Tamandua tetradactyla: one gene and its partner. The protein of the gene in region 2 binds, or shares a complex with, the protein of the main gene of each other region. Links are inferred from orthologs where the notes say so. Each region holds a gene or a part of one and is shown on either strand. Other genes may lie near its edges.

The links. Proteins that work in one complex are often made in the same cells at the same time.
Region 1: RBL1 (region 2) and LIN9 share a complex: the UniProt entries of both Homo sapiens proteins name them as parts of the DREAM complex. The link is inferred for Tamandua tetradactyla from reciprocal best matches to the Homo sapiens genes RBL1 and LIN9.

What each region holds. Positions count from the first base shown.
Region 1 is NC_135333.1:20,288,931-20,298,918, reverse strand, and holds the start of LIN9 (protein lin-9 homolog), read right to left. Parts: upstream 5,198-9,988; 5' UTR 5,163-5,197; coding exon 5,084-5,162; intron 1-5,083. UniProt on the Homo sapiens protein: Acts as a tumor suppressor. Inhibits DNA synthesis. Its ability to inhibit oncogenic transformation is mediated through its association with RB1. Plays a role in the expression of genes required for the G1/S transition.
Region 2 is NC_135327.1:15,174,360-15,184,347, reverse strand, and holds the start of RBL1 (retinoblastoma-like protein 1), read right to left. Parts: upstream 5,213-9,988; 5' UTR 5,161-5,212; coding exon 5,005-5,160; intron 4,903-5,004; exon of another isoform or gene 4,646-4,902; coding exon of another isoform or gene 4,643-4,645; exon of another isoform or gene 4,536-4,642; coding exon of another isoform or gene 4,428-4,535; intron 3,768-4,427; exon of another isoform or gene 1,975-3,767; coding exon of another isoform or gene 1,933-1,974; intron 775-1,932; coding exon 641-774; intron 1-640. UniProt on the Homo sapiens protein: Key regulator of entry into cell division. Directly involved in heterochromatin formation by maintaining overall chromatin structure and, in particular, that of constitutive heterochromatin by stabilizing histone methylation.

The DNA of each region.
Region 1 (9,988 bases), on a different chromosome or scaffold from region 2:
TAACAGGACAACTCACCAGCTTCTTTACAACACACTGAAGTTAAATAACCAAAGGCAGTATAGTCAGGAAAAAAAGAAGATGCCATAAATTCTTGCTTAAAAGCCTCAAATAACACAACTTTACAAAGGAGCAGCAGTAGTAGTCAGTGTAAATAGCCACATAGTTAACAAGAGAAATCCAGCTCACTTGAGAAAAAGAAAAAACCATTCACTCTTCAGTGAAAATATATAGAGTACTGACCACATTTGCATGTGCTATAGGTAACCTCCAGAACCACACTGAGAAACACTGGACTACAGGTTCTGATATGAGTAAAGTACAGGATCTGTGGGTGACGGGAAGTAGGAGAAACATTCCTGCTTTAGGCACTGGGGATACAACAACAAGAAAAAGAGCCAGTCTCTGTTCTCATGGAATTTACATCCTAATGAGCGTACACACATGGTGATAACAAGCATTACAGAAAAAACTAAAGCAGAATAACAGGGGATAGACAGTGTGGGGGGACTGGGGTATATGTGAGAAAACTATTAGTTTTACGTAAGTTGCTCATGATTAGCTTCTCTGATAAGGTGACATTTGAGCAGAGATTTGAAGAATTTCTGCTCCACGATGGTAGGAACCATATCTTGGGGATTCTGACCTATCAACTCTAATCTTTTTGTGAGACAGTATAGCACAGTGGTTAAGAGTACTGGCTCTAGATGGAGACTACATACATCTGAATCTTGACTCTGCCACTTCCTGTCTTTGCTACCTTAAGTAAAGTACTTAACCTCTCTGTGCTGCTGATTCTTCATCTGTAAAGTGGGAGTAAATGAGTTAATAATATATGCAAATGTCTTCTGGGCCAAGGGGAGGAAGAGAAGCAATAAAAGATGCCTAAAAAGATGAGGCATCTGGAGCCAAGAGAAATCAGGTGGAGTCCAGAGACTATTCTGGAGGCAACTATTGTGCAAGCTTCAATTAGATAGTACTGATTGCCATGGTTTGCTAAACCCCAACCAGCATCACTCCTGTTGACTCTTGACAATACCTGGGGCTCAAACTGAGACTCTACAGAGGTTTCATGCGCTAAGTTTGCTTTTCTGGAAACTATAACTCCCGGAGGATTCCTAGGTCAGATAAATACTGAAACCCAAAGGAACCAGCCTCTCTAACATTATCAATTAATTAATCGCTCTATCCTTTAGTGTCTACACCCCTTATCAACATGAAGAAGTCAGAAGGGGTGTTGCCCAGGGATCCCTATGGATTGAGAGAGGGATCGAGGGAGAAGAAGTTATAAAAGAGAATAGCATTTAACAGACAAGTATGACTCCTGAATCACTATATTAATCTTCCATCTAGCCTCCAGTGTTTGGGAGCAGCTAAAAGAAAAAATCTGAGATGGCAGAAACTCTGGGATCTGTTCTATAACTATCTGTTGAAGTATGCTTTGAAAATTATTGTTTTCTTTTTTTGTTTTGTATAGATGTTACATCTTACAATAAAAAATGTTTAAAATAATGTATGTAAAAGTGCTAAGAATAGTGTACATACCACATGGCAAATTTTCATTTAGTGTTTATTGTTGGAATTATTTTGATCAATCAATAAGACCTATTAGGTTAATAACATGAATTTACAGGCAGGTAAATCTGATTAAGTTAGAATCCCATTCTAGCTGGATATATTTATTCACTCATGCAGCAAATATTTACTGAATGCCTGGCATAAGCACTAATCTAAGGCTGGGCATATCCCAAGGAACAAGATGGACAAAACCCTGTTCTCAGGGTTCTAGTGAGAACAGACACACAATAAACAAGTAAACAAAAAGATAATTATTATCCATATATATAAAGTAACTCCCCCATACTGATATCACTCTGTTTATTTCCTATAGCAGTTACTTCATATACCATGGTTAGGAAAGGCTGGAAGAGGAAACTTCTGAGAAGGTCTAGCCATAAGAACACAAGGAAGAAGTAATACAGAAGAAACAGAAGGTTAAAACAAAAACTAAAAAAAAAATAACTGAAATTAGCTTAAAATATATTCAAAGAAAGGGAAAAAAGGCCAGTGTGCTTCAAGAGTACCAAACAAGAAAAAGTGGTATGAAATAAGGTCAGAGAGGTAAGCTAGGCCTTATGCATAGAACTGGGGTGCAAGAGTGTTAAAAACAGAACTAGTACCTACTCTGGTGGGGCTTCTAAAATAGTAAAAGGACCAGATGCTAACCAAACAATCACATAAACAAATTAAAAACTGCAACTGTGACAGCTGCCACTAAGGACTTACACAGTGCTATGAGAAAGGTTTTAATAAGTAGTTTAATGCTGTAAGGGAGGACAGAAAATAGCTCTCTGAAGAAGCTAAAATGGAGTCTAAAGGATAAGCTGAAGGTATTTGAAAGTAAGGGGAGGAAAGACCATTTTAGGTGGAGAGAATAGCACATGGAAAGGCACTGCAGAAAAGACATCTTAGTAAATAGAGGGAATGAAAAAGGTCCAAAGTATTTCAAAGGGATAAATGATAGGAAGGTCCAAAATGAGGCTGGAAAGGTGGGACAAGGTAGACCATGCAGGATCTTGTAGCTACTAAAGGCAAGACATATTTACATTTTGAAAAGTTCACTCTGGCTTAAGTGTGAATGTATGTGGGTAAAGGGGTGATGGATTAATGAAAGGTTGAAGTGATTAGTGGAGATAAGAGATGGTGACAGCTTGGACTCAGGTAATGGAGAGAAGCAGGTAGATTTAAGAGACATTTTGAAAGAAAAAGCTACAAGACTTAGTAAAGGCTTAAATATGGGAAATGAAACAGAAGGGAGTACCAAAGATGACCTCTAGGTTTCTTGCCCTGCCAGATGGAGCCATTCATTAAGACAAGGACCACTGAAAATATCTCTGTCCTGGGTTGGTGTCATGAGTTAGATTTTGAGCTTGTAAAATTTGAGGAACTTCTGAGCTATCTAATAGGAGATGTGAAATAAGCAAGAGATGTCAAGAACAAGAGCACAAGGGAAAGATCTGATATAAAATCAAACTAATTAGAGTACTCATCTCAATTGACATGAGGATTAAATGAATAGATTTATGTAAAATGCTTTGCACAGTGTCTGTGCATAGTAAGTACTCGATAAATGGTAGCATTTATTATTGATAATAGTTGCTGGCTATTGGTGAATATATTAGCTAGTCCCCTTGCCTAATCTTGATGAATAAACAAATTATTATTTCCAGTATCAAACTGAAATCACTTTTACTTTTCCTGTTCCAGTATCTTCAGTAATGCCTCTTACCCTATGTTTAATTCCATATAAATCAAGTATTTACATATACTTGATTTGTGACACTGTGTCACAAGCCACATAAGGCAATCTCTGCTTTCACCAAAGCTGCAGTCTAGCTAAACAAGACATGCACACAAGTACATCCCCACTTCCCCAATACAATGTACTAGAGATGTGACAAAGTAATATAAATGATTAGGTTATATAGTCTGAAAGTACAGCCGTGATTTGAACCTACAAAGAAATATGTAAGTCCTAGGTAAATGTTTGGCAACGATAATGCAAATACTCCCAATAAGAGCTATATTAAAAGCCACTTAAAACATCTTTCACTCAAAAGAATGACTGTAGTAACTAAAATAAGTCTATTCTAACTTCTTCTAAGAGGTGATAAAAGTTATCTCTTGGTAAAGATAACGAGGAGGAACATTTAAATAATTTAAAATTCAGTTCCTCAATCACTCAAGCCACATTTCAATGGCTCTATAGCCACATGTGGCTAAAGGTTATCCTAATGGACATCACAGAATAGAACATTTCCATTGCTGAGAAAGTACTATTGGAACTTAGCACTGGCTAGAGTAAATTTAAAACAAAAATACTCTTAATACAACTTTTCACCAGCTTGGCTTAACTAGAACTTGAACTTTTAATTTTAACTTGATAACACATTGAAAATATATATTCCACAAAGAATTGCCTGTATTTGGCTCTAATTTTCAAAGTCTATTTATATTGTGCACTGATAGATTTTTCAGTGATTGAGCCCTTCGTTTTTGTTAAATTAAAACTCTTGCAAATGCTATGTATACATAAACTAAATAGTGAGTGTGGACTCAGAATCTCTTTGTAATTAACTAAAATAAAACATTTGCTTTTCTATATAATTTACGCAATTTAGTAAATTACAAAGTTGCATTCCACTGTGCTTAAACTATGGAATTAGTGCTTTTACGTACTAAACACAAGCGAGAATATATGTTCATGAGATTCCATTGAGGCAGAGTGAGTAGACATGGCTAAGTGAAGCAATGCACAGGCGTGGGCGTCAGGAGTACTGTACAGGTACACTGGTTGGTCACATCAATATGTCCAAGGTACCCCCATGACTCTCAAGATACGCACACGCAGGAGAAAGTCTGTGGGGATGAAGGCTACCTGTGCCGTAAGTATCCAGTCTGGATTATCTCTGGAAGGATCCACTGCCACCTGTGGTCCCACAAAGGGCAGCCCCTTGACATGGAAACACTCCCAGAGGTGGGCACATCGCGGGGGGAGGTGTGACAGTGAAGACCACAAGTGCCTGGACAGGTAACAACTGGGGCAGGACTCCGTCTGAAGGTGGGGCAAGAAGAAAGGGCAGGTGGCTACCCCCTCCCCGGCCGAGTCCTCCCCGGGCCCGGGGACAGGAGCATTACATAACCCATGCCGGTGTCTCTCCGCGCCAGGCGAGCGGTGCGGGCGGCGGACACAGTCCCCGCGGCCGGGGGCAGCTCTTCTCCCACCAAGGCCGGGGGCCGGAGTCCGGCCAGGGGAGCAGCCACCGCCTCCGCCCGACACCGGCTGGGCTCTCCGGCTTTCGGTTTCCGGCCCTGGCGCTCCCACAACCCCAGAAACCAATACACAGACACCATAACAAAGGCGGCGACGCGGCAGCAACACAGGAGTGGGAGGACTAGGAGCACCTAGTGGGACTGGCAGTCAGCCCACCCGGTCGGCGGAGGGCACGCCATCTGTCCCGGCCGCTGCAGCCCGGGGCAGGCGACCGCTGGGAGGAAAGGGGGGTGCTTTGAGGTGCTACTCACTCTCGTCGGGCAACTGGTCGAGCTCCGCCATCTTGAACGAGCCGCGCCGCTTTTTCAAAGGCTGCCCGCCGCGGTGCATTGTGGGGCGGAGACTGTCTTAGCGAGGGAGGTTCGAATGCGGAGCTCGCTGCCTGCCGCGCTGCCGGGCGCTGCTCCCGTCGCGGTGGCCCGAGGCCCGGCTCCGCCCGCTGCTGGCGGCCGAGGGGGTGCGGTGGGGCGGGTTGCGCCTCGCCCCTTGCCCCCGCCCCGGCCCGGCGCTGGAGCGCTGAGGGAGCAACGCGAGCTCCCGCGTCCCGCCCGGGCCCGGCGCCGGGTCTCGCGCTGCCGCTGCGGGAACTGCAGGCTGTTTGTTCCGAGTGGGAAGAGGGAGGGAAGCCGGGAGAGGCCCGGCGGGCTGAGGCGGGAGCGGGAGGAGGCGCCTGGAGGCCCGTCATGGGAGAGAAGCCCTGGCTCTCGGTCGCTTTACCCCATGGAACCCCATACGGAGTAAATTTGCCAAGGTTCCCCAAGCCCGCGTTTCTTCTGTGCTTCCATCCCTTTCTCTTTGGAAGAGCGAGGGGAGGAGGCCACAGCTGCCCCACAGCCACTGGGTCCAACGCTTGGGGTTCGCCGCGGCCCGTGGCGAACCGAGGCGCCTCGTTACCTGTGATGCTGGAACCGGAGCCGCGCAGGGCCTGAGAGGGACCTGAAGGAGTCCTCAAGTTAGTCTTCTAGGCCAGCCTTTAAAGAACTGTTCTTTAATCCACTGGACACAGGATCATGTAGTGAGCTAGGAGAGAATTACAAAATGAGTAACAGAAGGTTTTGTAAGGTTATAGACAAGAACCCAGTAGGGACACTACAAGGTTGAGAAAGCACTCTGATAAAAGTGTTATGGAAACACTGGATGAGAGAATTCATCCTGTTTTGAATGAAGCCCAGGAAAAAATTTCACAATTCTTGTCTCTAACACTGTCCAGTAATAAACCATTGCTACTTTTCTACAACTAATTTAACAAATGCAGAACTCCAATCCTTTCCCTTCAAGAATCTGGTGCGGGTGGAGGTGGCAGAAGAGGTCCTAAGCAATGAAAATAGCATGGGTGAATTCCAGGAACTAAAAAGTTGAAAAGTGGTAGAAAGACTGAGATGAGGACAGAACAAAACACAGAGGCCAGCCCAGGCTAAGGAGTTGGACTGTTTGAACAGTGGCACAACAGAGGTCAGGCTTTAAATAATGGGGTAGCAGGTTCCATTTTTGTTTTAGAGCAAACGTGGAAAATTAATTGGAGGGGGACAAGATGAAAGTCTTGGAAATCAGTCAGGAGGAAACTTGGGCCAGGAAGAGAAGAGAGATATCTGCCTGCACTAATGGCTGTGGAGTTTCAGAGAGGGCCAGAAGGACTAGGTTGGAATTATGGCTGCTATCTGTGAAATCTCAGGCAAGTTTCTTAATTTCCTGTGCTTCATTTTCTCATCTATAAAATTCAAATAATAATAATGGGGTTATTTTGAGGATAATGAGTTGATGTAAAATCCTGATGATAATTCCTAGCATGCATTTTGGTCAAATGTTAGCTACTGCTACTGCTATGACTACTTCTAAACAGGAAGTATTGAAGGAGATGGAGGGACACGATGCATTCTGTCTCTCAAGAGGTGTGGAAAAAGACAGGACTTGGTGATTCATAGTTTGTGAGGAAAAAGGGGTGTCACGGATAATGCCAAGTTTCTGCCTTAGGAAAGTGGGTGGAAAGAGCCGTCACTTATTGAGGTAGGAAAGGGAGCAGGGTGTGAATGGGAAGGATGAAAGTTCAATTTTACAGAGTAATCTTTCCTTCATAACTAACTTAACCCCTGCTATGCCTTCTAAACACATTCTGATCTGTTCTTTAAGATGAAAAGCACTGGAAGTTTCAGCAACTTGGAGATGAGTTCAAGAGAAGGCCACCTCTCTGAGACTGAAAGAATAGATATAAACAAAACATGAATATCAGATCAAAATAAACCACGTTTTATCCTAAGGCACGTTTTTGTTTGTTTGTTTGTTTTGTTTTTTTTGCATGGGCAGGTACTAGGAAACAAACCCGGGTCTCTGGCATGGCAGGCGAGAACTCTGCCTGCTGAGCCACCGTGGCCCACCCCCTAAGGCAGTTTTCTTAAAACAAGAACTGAAACCTCCAGCAAGAATGGTATTTAAGTGAAGATTTTTAGGCCCTTCCCTGATAATCTGCCTGTTAAGCAAAAACTCTAAATGAAGCTGTTTTCCAAGTCCAGATCTACCACTTGTTAGCAGCTAGGCCCTTCACTATTATTTTCGGTGAGGTTCTTTATTGGGTATTTATGAAAGGTTTTATAACCATTGACTTACTTGATCTTCTCAACAACCTGGTAACATGTCCAAGAACAGCAGTGACTAACTGATAGAACCAGAAATCTAGCTCACTCTCAGCACCTCAGTTTTTCTTCTGTTCTGTGAGGAAAGCAGGTATACACAGAGTTGTTTAATTTCCACCATAACATAATTGTATAAGTGTAGTTGTTTGCTTTGTTTTTAAACTAAAATTTGGATAAGGACACTGTTCTAGTTTGCTAGCCACAGGAATGCAATATACTAGGAACAAAATGGCTTTTAAAAGGGGGAATTTATTAAGTTGCAAGTCCACAGTTCTAAGGCCGTGGAAATGTCCCAACTAAAGCAAGTTATAGAAATGTTCAATCTAAGGCATCCAGGGAAAGATACCTTGATTCAGGAAGCCTGATGACGTTTATGGTTTCTCTCTCAACTGGAAAGGCACTTGGCGAACATGGCTATGTCTGCTAGCTTTCTCTCCTGGCTTCATGAAGCTCCCCCGAGGGCATTCTCCTTCTTCATCTCCAAAGGTCTCTGGCTGCACAGGCTCTGTTGTGGCTCTAAAAAAGGGTCTCTCTCCAAAATGTTTCCTCTTTTAAAGGATTCCAGTCAAGGCCCACCAGGAATGGGTGGAGTCACATCTCCCTCTAATCAAAAGTTAATACCCACAATCGGGTGAGTGACATCTCCATGGGAACAATCAAAAACTCTCAGCCAGCAATATTGAATGAGGATTAAAGGACATGGCTTTTCTGGGGTCCACAAATTCAAACCAGCACAGACACCGTGACAGTTAATTTCATATGTCAACTCAAAATAGGTCATGGTGTCTAGTTGTGTGGTAAAGCACTGGACTTTTTGTTACTATGAAGGTTTTTGAGGTAGAATTTTCATCTATAATCAATTGATTATATCTACCATCAATGCCTTAGTTTGCCAGAGCTGCTACATCAAATACTACACAATGGGTTGGCTTAAACAATAAAAATGTATTGGCCTACAGCTTGGAGGCTAGAAGTCCAAAATTGAGACTTCGGCAAAGCCATGCCTTCTCCCAGAGACACAAGCATTCTAGTGATGGCAGTCCTCTGTCACGTGGCCATGTCACTCTCTGGCATCTCCTACTTCTGGATTCTAAGAACTTCTGACTTCTTCTGACTGGCTGTGTCTGAATTTCTTCTCTTTATAAGGCCTTCAGTAATACAGATTAAGGCTCACCCTGATCCAATTTGGCTTCATCTAAATAGGATCTCCAAAGATCCTATTCACAAATTGTGCTGGTTTGAAAGGAAGTATGCCCCCTAAGAAAAGCCATGTTTTAATATAAATTCCATTTCATAAAGGTAGAATAATCCCTATTCAATACTGTATATTTGAAACTGTAATGAGATCATCTCCCTGGTTGAGGTGATTTAGTCAAGAATGATTGATAAACTGGATTAGGGGATGACATGTCTCCACCCATTTGAGTGGGTCCTGATTGGTTTACTGGAGTCCTATAAAAGAGGAAACATTTTGGAGAAAGAGATTCAGAGAGATTCAGAGAGAGCAACACTATGAAGCAGAGAGTGCACCAGCCAGTGGCCTTTGAAGATGAAGAAGGAAAACGCCTCCTGGGGAGCTTCATGAAACAGGAAGCCAGGAGAAGAAGCTAGGAGATGATGCTGTGTTCGTCACATGCCCTTCCAGCCGAGAGAGAAGCACTGACTGTGTTCGCCATGTGCCTTCTCACTTGAGAGAGAAACCCTGAACTTCATTGGCCTTCTTGAACCAAGGTATCTTTCCCCGGATGCCTTTGATTGGACATTTCCATAGACTTGTTTTAATTGGAACATTTTCTCGGCCTTAGAACTGTAAACTAGCAACTCATTAAATTCCCCTTGTCAAAAGCCATTCTGTTTCTGGTATATTGCATTCCGGCAGCTAGCAAACTAGAACACAAATTAATCCGTACTTAACTAATAAAACATCTTCAAAGGTCCTATTTATAAATGGGTTCACAGCCACAGGAAAGGGGATTAAAGTTTGAACATATCTTTTGTGGAGGATGTGATTCAACTTCCAGCAATCAACAAAGGAGATTGCCTTTAGCAATGTAGGGAATCTCACCAATCAATGGAGGTCTTAAAAGCCAGAATTGAGAGTTTCAGAAGTCAAAAGAAGAATTTGGACTCAACTTCAGCATTAACTCTTCCTGGAGTTTCCAACCAGCCAGCGTTCTTGTGGGGATTTAGACTAAGAACTTCATCATCACCTTTATCTAAATTTTCAGCTTGGGTCCTGCCCTACAGAGCTCAGAGTTGCCAGTCCCTGTGATTGCATAAGCCAATTCCTTATAATAAATCATGTATATATATATGACTTATTATATTATAATATATGTAATATATATATTATATGTATATATCCTGTTGGTTCTGTTTCTCTGGAGAAATATAGACCCTAAGTCATGAAAAATCTAATATAAGAAGACACCGTGGGAAAAATAAACATGGGCCACATTTTAGGCATATCAGGTTTAATCATTTCTAGTCCCATGGCCCATTAATCAAATATTGAGTTATTTCTGTGTA
Region 2 (9,988 bases):
CTCAGCAGGCAGAATTCTCACCTGCCATGCCAGAGACCCACGTTTGATTCCTGGTGCCCGCCCATGAGAAAAAAAAAGACATTACTGGGTCAACTGGAAAAAAAAACCTAGAATATAGATGGTAGATTAGATACAATTATTTAAATAATGCTAGATTTGCTGAAGTTGATAACTTTTATTTAAGAAAACATAAATTGAAGTACTTGGGACAAAGGTCTATAACGTATGCTTTTACTTTGAAATGGCTGAGGAAAATATTATTTAAGAGAGAGTAATATCTTTAAGGGAGAAAGATCAAATGATAAAGCAATAGGTGAATCTAGATAAAGGGTATACGAATGCTCTTTGTATTTTTCTTATTTTTGCAATTTTTCTATAAGCTTGAAATTATTTCCAGATAAGAAAAAATTTGTATGAAAAAAATTTATAGCTAAAAAAGATCTAGCATAGAGGCCTCTGAATGAAGCCAGAATTGGGGGAAGTAAGGCAAAGGAAGAATGTGAGGAGTAGGAAAAGATGCACGTGTGATAAACTGAACCAGGATTGAATGAAATCAAATGATTTAAAATAAAGAAAAATCATATTCTAAAATTAAATTTATAATATATAAAACAACATTTGAAAAATCAAAATACTTTACCTTAATTTAGCTGAACGTAGTATTCTGGTAAGTGACACACAATTTCCTTCCATAACACCCCTTCCAACTGTGGGAATAATGCTTTTACGGCATGCAACATATAATGAACATGCCAACCAGTGTATAACTTCTCCCTGGCAGGCAAAAGACAAACAGCAAAATGGATATGCTATTATGTTAAAATACCTGAATTTTAGAGCCAGAAGAGCTCTTATTTTGTATAATTTTCCTTCCGGAGGTAAAGGCCAGGGAAGTAAAGATACCTACCCAAAATCACAAAGCTAAATTAGTTGTAGTGTTATAAAATTCCTTAGTCTTAGTCCTGTTTTCTTACAATATAACATGCTAAATCAGTATATTAATCTCTCACCTATCCCCCAAATCTAATATTCCTGAAAGAGTTCTCTTTAATTTTGCAGCCTTAGCTTTCTCAACTTTGACTTTGAGGATACTGAAGTTCCATTCCTTTCTACTATTTTAGTTTTATGCTTCTTTTTTAACTAGTTTGACAGAGAAAGAAAAGGGCACAGCATAAAAAAGACTATCATTTTTGTGAAGTAAAAATTGGGGGACTAATTTACCCCAAAACATGTTTAAAATAGAAAGTATGACTTTTCATCTTAGTAGATATCTTCTTCTTTTATTCAGAATATTGTGAAATTTTATGGCTATATTGAACATGCAATCTGCAATATATGTGTTCACAACTGAATAATTGCTGATGTTTGGTATGACCAAATTCAAGAGTGTGGGTGAGGCAGACATTTTTTATGCATGGTTCACAGTCTCTCTGCCACCCTGGTGGTCATCTGCAATCTCCTTCAGCTTTTTCCATCTCTTTTCCTGAAAAAAGTCTCTGGTAAAGAAGCATATTTGATCTGTTCATAAGGTAGGCTGGAAATGCTAGGAAATCAACATCCTGTGAGACTATTCTCAATCAAAGGGTGATAGGAAATGCTGGAAAATACTTCAGCTGCCTTGTCCCTTCAGGGAATATTAAGATGTATTCTACACAATCTTTGAAATAGTCCACAAGGGAATTGAGCCCCAGCTGCTCAAAGCATTAGCTCTTCTTTTTTTAACAAATTTTCCCTTCTACTCCCCTCCCAATCTCTGATCTGTTTTCTATATCCCCAAATTTGCGACTTTTAATTATCTAAGTGCTATCACACAATTTTTGTCCTTATGTGCCCTGCTTTTTTCACTGAGCATAATGTTCCTTCCATATTGCAGCATGCCTCATAATTTAATTTTTTCATAGGGCTAAATAATATTCCAATGTGTGAACATACCACATTTTGTTTGTTCATCCTGGACGCTTGGGTTGTTTCCATCTTTTGGTTTCTGTAAATAATGCTGCTAGAAACACTGGCATTCGGGTTATCTGTTTGAGATCCTGCTTTAGTTCTCTTTGGAAATACACCTAGAAGTGGAATTGCCAGATCATATGCTAACTCTATATTTAACTTTTTTGAGGAACTACCATATTGCTTTCTACAGTGGCTGCACCATTTTACATTCCTACCAACACACTAGAGTGCCAATTCCTCCACATCCTCTACAACACTTCTGATTGGTTTTTTTTTTTTCTAATAACCATCCTTTGTGGGTGTAAAGTGGTATCTCATTGTGGATTTGATTTGCATTTCCCTAATGCCTAATGATGTTGAGCCTCTTTTCATGTGCTTATTGGCTGTTTGAATATCTTCTTTGGATAAATGTCTAAGTCCTTCGCCCATTTTTAACTGGGTTGACATTGTGTTTTTGAGTAGTAGCTCTTTACATATTCTGGTATTAAGCCCTTATTCAATATGTGGTTTGAAACCATTTTCTCCCATTCTGTAGGTTGTCTTTTTACTTTCTTGATAATTTTCTTCAATGCACAAAAGCGAGTCTTAATTTCAATGCTACAATAAAGATGGCATTTGAGAATTCAACATTTAATTCTGTTTTAGATGTAAGATATCTCCAAGCTAGAATTATTTCATGACTTCATTGCAAAAACGTAGACAGATTTTAAGGATTAATAATTACAGACACAAATTTCATAGCACAGCACAATATTGTTCCTATTCACTGTTCTGCAGATCATTCTTAAGGCCAGACTCCAGAAGACTAAATATATTGATAAAAAAGATTTCTCGCAACAAATCAAAAAAAGGGGCAGGTAGAAATAAGTAACAAGTAATAAAACTGAGACCATCGAATGTTCATACCCTAAAATAATCAGGAAAAAATAAGTTTGTTCAAGGCCTCAGATGAGGCAGGGAAGCTTAAGGTTGAATAGTTTTGGAATTGTTTGGGAATAGCATCTACATATTACAGAGCCTTTGTGTACTGGATGAAAACATTTACTTAGTAAAACAGAGAATATATAAGTACTAGAATTATGCTTTGATTTTTTAGAATGAAGAGAAATATATACTATTATCTATAACTGGTGGGATATATGCTATAAAAGAGGAATTAAGATGTTATGGGAGAATATAGCATGGAGAATAATTTTCAATGGAAGTCAGGGAAGGCTTCACAGAGGGAGACTTAAAATTGATAAATGGTAAATCGCCAAAAATGTAACAGGGAGCTTGTCAAGTGGACTGGAAAATGATAGGAGACAGAGAGAAGAGCTCTTAGGAACAGCAGAAACATATGAAAATGTCTACTCCAAGTGCCTTTCACCAAAAACCTAAGGAAAAAAAAAAAGGGAAAACAGAACACTCTGGATAGAATAAACACCAACAAAATCTCGATATATGCACGTGAGCTTCCTAAATCAAACATTTAAGATGCCCTAATCAACTCTTCTTAATTGAAAATTTAGCTCTTCAACTTTCCTAGGGAAGGAGGGGTGAGGGAAAAAATTCCAGGCACAAAACTGGAAGCAAGCATGGCACATTAAAGGACAAGAAAGAGGTACTTAGTTTAATGCCTTGACCATAGTTGATACTCAGCAAATGTATATTTAATGAGATCAAACGAGGACCTGGGATATCAGATATGCTTTCTTAGGCTTTCAAAAGTCAATCTCTTCTCAATTAAGAGGTCATAATTCACATTATCCCTTACTTTTTCTTTCCTTAGCCTTCCAGGCATGCCACCCATGGACGCAGATCACTGTCCTTTACCGGATCCTAACCTGGCCCCACCCCCACCCCAGCCCAGCCCAGCCCACCCCTCCCCCTCCCTGTGGCATGGTGGGAGTTTCCCCACGCAGAGAGTTTCTGTCAGGTACTCTTTCCTCATATATAGACGTAGTATATTCTACACCAAATTTCCAACTCTAAAACAATTTCACTCACCTGGTGGCCTGTGTATGGGTCCACCTCCCTCGGATCATAAATGCCTTGAACATAAAACTACTAGAGCACTACGCTGAAATATATTCCATCACAATTCTTTCGCTACACTGGGCCCCAAAGTCTACGGGCTTACACTTGCCTGGGCTTCTTAATAGCTGAATGACCACAGCAAAATAATCCTCTGGTTCTTAACATTACCTGGAAAGTAGGTATAATAGTATCTTACCACATTCACAGGGCTGCTGCGAGGACTAAATGCAAGAACGCTTGGGGAAAATCTAATAACGATAGCTGAAATTCATCTTATACAAAGCCAAATACTGTGCTAAACATCAGGATAGTCTCATTTTCTCCTCCCACCAACCAAATGAGTTAGGAACTATTATTTCCACCTAGCAGAGGAGGAAGGGCCTGAGTGGCAAGTACTGAATGCACACTGGCTTTGAGCAAACTGCTGTACAGGGCAGGCTGCAAAGTGAGTAACCTACCCCTCCTCTCCAATGAGGCAGAAGGGTGGAGAGGTTAAATGGCTCAGACATCACTAACCATGTACCTCTCGACAAGTATTTAACTTCTTTGTGGTTCATCTTCCTCATCTATAAAACAGGGATCACAGAACGTGTGCAAAGGTTGTGACCGGAACTGAGATGACACATTTAAAGTGTGAGCAGTGTCCTGGCATGTTACTCATTTTGGTGTTTACCATGTTCCCATTTGCTTGTTTTAAGGCAGTACCAGGGCGTTGGTGGCGGTTGGCGAGGCTGAGGGAGGTCTGATCTGGAAGTCTGGGGAACCCCTGTTTGGCGCGTGACCTTGGACATGCCGCTCCTTTTCTAGGCTTCAGTTTCCCGCTTCAAAAATGGGTAGGGTGACCGATCTACATCCGCCCTTCCAGCTCTGCACTCCTCGGAGCCCGGCTGCGCAGCGACCCTTCTCGGTGGGGAAACTCCCACCACCCCACAGGGTAGGGGTTCGGGTGAGGCAGGGGCGGGGCGGGGGTGGGGCCTGGACGCTAGCCCGCTCCGCGGAGGGTCGGGTCCGGCTGCCCCACCTGCCGCCGCTCACCTCTAGGCTGTAGTTGCCCTGGATGGCGGTGAAGTCGTCCAGGGCTTCGGCCGCACTCCCCTCATCCAGGTTCAGCTCCTGGCACAAGGCCTGCAGCGCTTCCCGGGCCGCGGCGACCACCGCCGCCCCCTCAACGTGGGGCACGTCTTCGAACATCCCCTCAGCCCCGAGGACCGCGCGGCTCCAGGCCCCAGCTCCTTTCTCCCGCCCCAGCTCCTTTCTCCCACCCCGGCGCGCTACCCACAATCACCCGCGCCAAAGCGCGCGAAAATGGGCGACTTCGGAGCTTCTCTTCAGTCGTCTGCCTCCGCTGTTCTCCTAAAAGTCCTTTTCTCCTTTCGTGCTCCCAGCTTTCCCTTTCCGCAATTGTGATAAGAAGATGGACTAGGGATCCCGGAAAAACTTCTCCTAGCCCGTAAGGGGTCGCGGAGGTCCAGCCGGCAGGACGAATCGAGGCGGAGGGATCTGAGGCTCGCGCGCGGAGACTGCTGGACGCTGTAGTCCGTAGCGTGCCCAGAAGGGCTCTTTTCCTTGGTTCTTTAACCTGGCTGCCGGTTGGCAGGTGATCTTATTCATCTCAGGGAGACAGACGAATCCTCTTCTATCCGGCCAGCGGCCCTGGCTTTGTTTATATTCTGGGCGCCACGTGTAGTTAGTCCCTTCAGTTAGGGAATGGAGGCGGGAGCAGAGAAAAGTGGCCCCCCTGAACCCGGGACCTCGCGTCAGCAATCTTCCTATCTAGCGCCCAGTGTGAGTGGCTGTCGAATGGCTAAATGAATATGCCCTGGTTTTATCACAGGGCTGGTGAGGCAAGTATGTTAGGGTACATTTTCCCACCTCATTTTAATCGCTGAATGAGGCTTGGTCTCAGATGACAACTGCAGTAAGGGGGCCCTTTCCTAGCTTCCTAGACTCTGGGAACTTTCCCAGTAAAGACATTCATTCCAGACTTAGGAACGGCCTGAGCCTAAAACTGCAGACAAGGAATTCACAGTTTACCCTTCTGTTCCATCAAAACTCCTCCTCCTGGAAGAGCCAGAATCACTCTCTAGATCACCTTTATAGAAGGCAAATCAGAGCTCAGAATTTTTCAATGGATTCTCCTTGCCCTTAAAAAGATATCGGAACTCTTTTCCATGGTCTACAAGATCCTTCGTGGTCTGACTTAGCCTCATCTAGTGCATTATCCCCCAAGGTATAAAGTTCAGCCCCACTACTTTTAGACCCTAATGCAAGCTGCCAAGCTTGTTCCTGCCTTGAGGCCTTTCTCATATGCTGATCATTTGCTTGTCTGGCTTCTGCTCATCATTCAAGTTAATTGTCACCTTCTCAGGCCATCCCTGAACGCTGTATCTAAGGTAGAGGACCCTATTCCTCAAAACCCGTTTCATTGTCTTCATAGCACCTTACTACTATCTGGAATTTACTTATTTCCTAATGACTGTCTCTTCCTACTAAAATGTGAGTTGCATGAGAGCAGGGACCTTCCTTTCATATTCACCAATGTATTTCCAATGGTTAGATCAGTGCCTGATACATAGTAGGCATTCAGTACTCAGCCCAGTGTTTTACAAAATTACAAAGAGCCCATTGTTGCTTGGATAATGGGATGCAGTCACCAGAGACAGAAATGAAGACCAGTCAAAGTAGGTTGTGAAAGACTTCACATACAATCTAAGAGCCTGGACATTATCTTCAAGGCAGCCAAGATTATAAAGCAGGGTGGTAATGATCATTCTGTGTTTTGGACAGATCCTTTTAGCTGTGGTGTGACACATGGATGAGACTGGAGGTAGGGAGTCTTCTTCTGGGGAGCCAATACAAAAGTTCAGCCAAGAGATGGTGGGTCCAGCAGAAGAAGTGAGCTTGGAGAGAAGCCTCTGGCCTAGAACTGGAGGGGCCACGGCTGAAGAAAGGGGAGTCCCCGATAACACAAGCTTCCGTGAGAGCTAAGGTGGTAAAGTTTATGCTGTAACCTGGGATGGGAGCACAAGCAGAGGGATGACAGTAGTTCAGGAGCCACTGAGTTTTTGAGATGCTTATAGGAAGTTTAAGTGGAGGCTGTTGGGTCATGGAAGGTAGCCCCTCCCTCCTGGCAAATTTTCATTCTGTAATTCTTCATACAAGGAGAGGGGTGGGATTTTGAAACCAGCTGCAAGCCAGGTCCCAAATGAGCAAAAGCTCTAGCTAACCCCCTGCCTCCCCCCCCCAAAAAAACCTCAAACAGAACCACCAATGTGATATCTCCAACTCTGCTTCGCTCTAGAAGTTACTGCTGCAGCTGACTTCAGGTCCATTTCATTATTCTCTGGAGGGGATGTTGGCATGCAATATCAGCACACAGACTCTCCTCTTGTGAATTTTTACCCATTTAAGAGAGTTGGTTATGTGCAGTGCTTAGGGCCCTGAAACGGGTTATCATTCCTCCTTCTAACTCCCTTTCCTGGTGTGATTATAGTCAGCAAAGAAATAACAGGATTAGTGAAGGTGAGGTGGTTGAAGGGTTTCCTGAGTGGTTGATTTGTTTTCTAATTAACCTACGTGCTTATTTAAGAGAGCTTACATCTCAGTAGAGAGCTCTGCAAGTTGGATAGCCTGGACATGAGGATTTATAAATCCTCAGTAGTACCTGAAGCCAAGGGAGCAGGTTTATATCACTCATGGAATGTATTGGCATGAGAAGAGACCCATGTATTGAACCCTTAGAATGCCAACATTTATGGGATGGGCAGAATCTGAGGAGTGAGGAAAATAGGAGACTGGGTCATACAGATATAAAAACAAGAAACAGTATCTTAGAGGCCAGGAAGAAGTATTTCATAGAGTCTGACACTGCAGAGAATGCAAACAGGATGAGGAATTCAAAGACCTCATATTATCATTGGTATATTTTGGGAATCTCTGCCAGAGCAGTTTTCCTTAGCACAGGGGTAGAAACCAGATTACTGTGGTTGAGAGGCTAGCAAGAGGAACATTAGAACGTTGAGGTAGGAAGTAAAAATTCTTTAAGATGTTTAGTGGAGGAGAGGTAAAGGAAGAGTATTTTCCAGGATAGGGGAAACTCAAGAAAGTTAATAATCAGGGGTAGGACCAGACAGAGAGAGACTGAAGATAAAAAGAGATAAATGATATGCCTACATGTACAAGATACTGATTCTTCCTTTGCCATGACTTTTGGATCATCCAGACTTGAAATGAGGGGTATTGTTGGCTTGAAAGTGATCCAAGAACAAAAGAAACAGCTCTCAAGGATCATCCACCAAACAGATAAAAACAGAAACGGTATACCTGTTTTCTTCTCTTTGGGACTTGTTCTAGTTTGCTAGCTGCTGGAATGTGATATAGCAGAAACGGAGTGACTTTAAAAAGGGGGGATTTAATAACTTGCTAGTTTATAGTTCTAAGGCCAAGAAAATGTCCCAGTTAAAACATGTCTATAGAAATGTCCACTCTAAGGCATCCAGGGAACGATACCTTGGTTCAAGAAGGCCAGTGAAGTCCAGGGTTTCTCTCTCAAGTGGAAAGGCACATGGCAAACATGGTCAGGGTTTTTCTCTCATCTGGAAAGGCACATGGTGAACACGGCATCTGCTAGCTTCCTCTCCAGGCTTCCTGCTTCATGAAGCTCCCAGGGAAGCGTTTTCCTTCTTCATCTCCAAAAGTCGCTGGCTGGTGGACTCTCTGCTTTGTGGTTCTGCAGCATTCTGTCATCCTTCTCTGCTCTCTCAGACTCCAAAGTTTGCCGACTGGTGGACTCTGTGGTTCTCTCAGCCTCGTGGCTCTGCATGGCTCTGCTGCAGCTTTCTCATTCTCAAAAGGCGTTCTCTCCAAAAAAAGTCTCCTCTTTTATAGGATCCCAATAAACTAATCAAGACCCCCTGGAATGGGTAGAGACACATCTCCACCTAATCAAGTTTAATACCCACACTTGATTGAGTCACGTCTCCATGGAGATAATCGAATTAAAGTTTCCAAAATGCAGTACTGAATAGGGATTAGAAGAAACTGTTTCTCCCACAAAATCGATTAAGACCAAAACATAAATTCTTCCAAACTGGCACAGGACTGGATCTGTGCTTTAATAGGGGTTCACTGTTACCAGTTGAAACAAATTTAGGTGGTTTAATTGAAGATACATCTAACAGATCAGCCTCACTGCATGATTTTTTTTTCTTTTATTAATATGTTCTCCTTATTTTCTGTCAAATCTCATGTTGGTTGATTTTTTGTTATTGCCCAGGGACATGCTCATTTACCTTAACACAAAACTGGGCTTTCTGAATAGAAAATGATGTACTGATAGTGAAATAAGATTTACTCTGTCCATTTCTGATCCAGACACATGACAGTTGTTTCTATTATAATCCCAGTGTGTAACAGCCTCTATGATTAGCCTCCCTTTTGTGGTTTAATATTACAGAGCATGTGCCCTGGGCCTGATTAAGACCTTTAGAGGCTCCAAGACTAAAAAAATTCTATCAGTGCACATTATTCTCAAATGTAATTCAAAATACAAACAATTCTAAACAATGAGTGTTAGGAAAGTGCAACAAAGTTCTGATTACTTTTCCCAAGGTGACTTATTCTGTTGCTTTTTTGGTAATAATATTCTTTCAGAAAAAAATTTTTTTCTTATCTTTTTATACCCCGATTATGCCATGCCTTAAGCAGGTACTTGGTCTGCACATGCCCCTCTTAGGAAAAACTACTCAAACTTCTGTCAAAAACAGCAGTTATAGTTGTGGGGAAGGGGCAAGACCTGACCTCACCATTCTTCCTGTCGTTCCTCAGAAGAACTAAAGTGGTGGTCCTGACACTGGGGAGAATGGTGCCAGCCCTGCTAACAGGGACAGTTCTGTGAGTTTTGTACCCCATTTAGATTTTGGATAAGAAAATGAGAAACTGAAAATCACAATTTAATTTAAAAATATTAATTGCTTTCTAAAGCCCTTATACATCAAATAAAATCCATGCCCAGGGCACC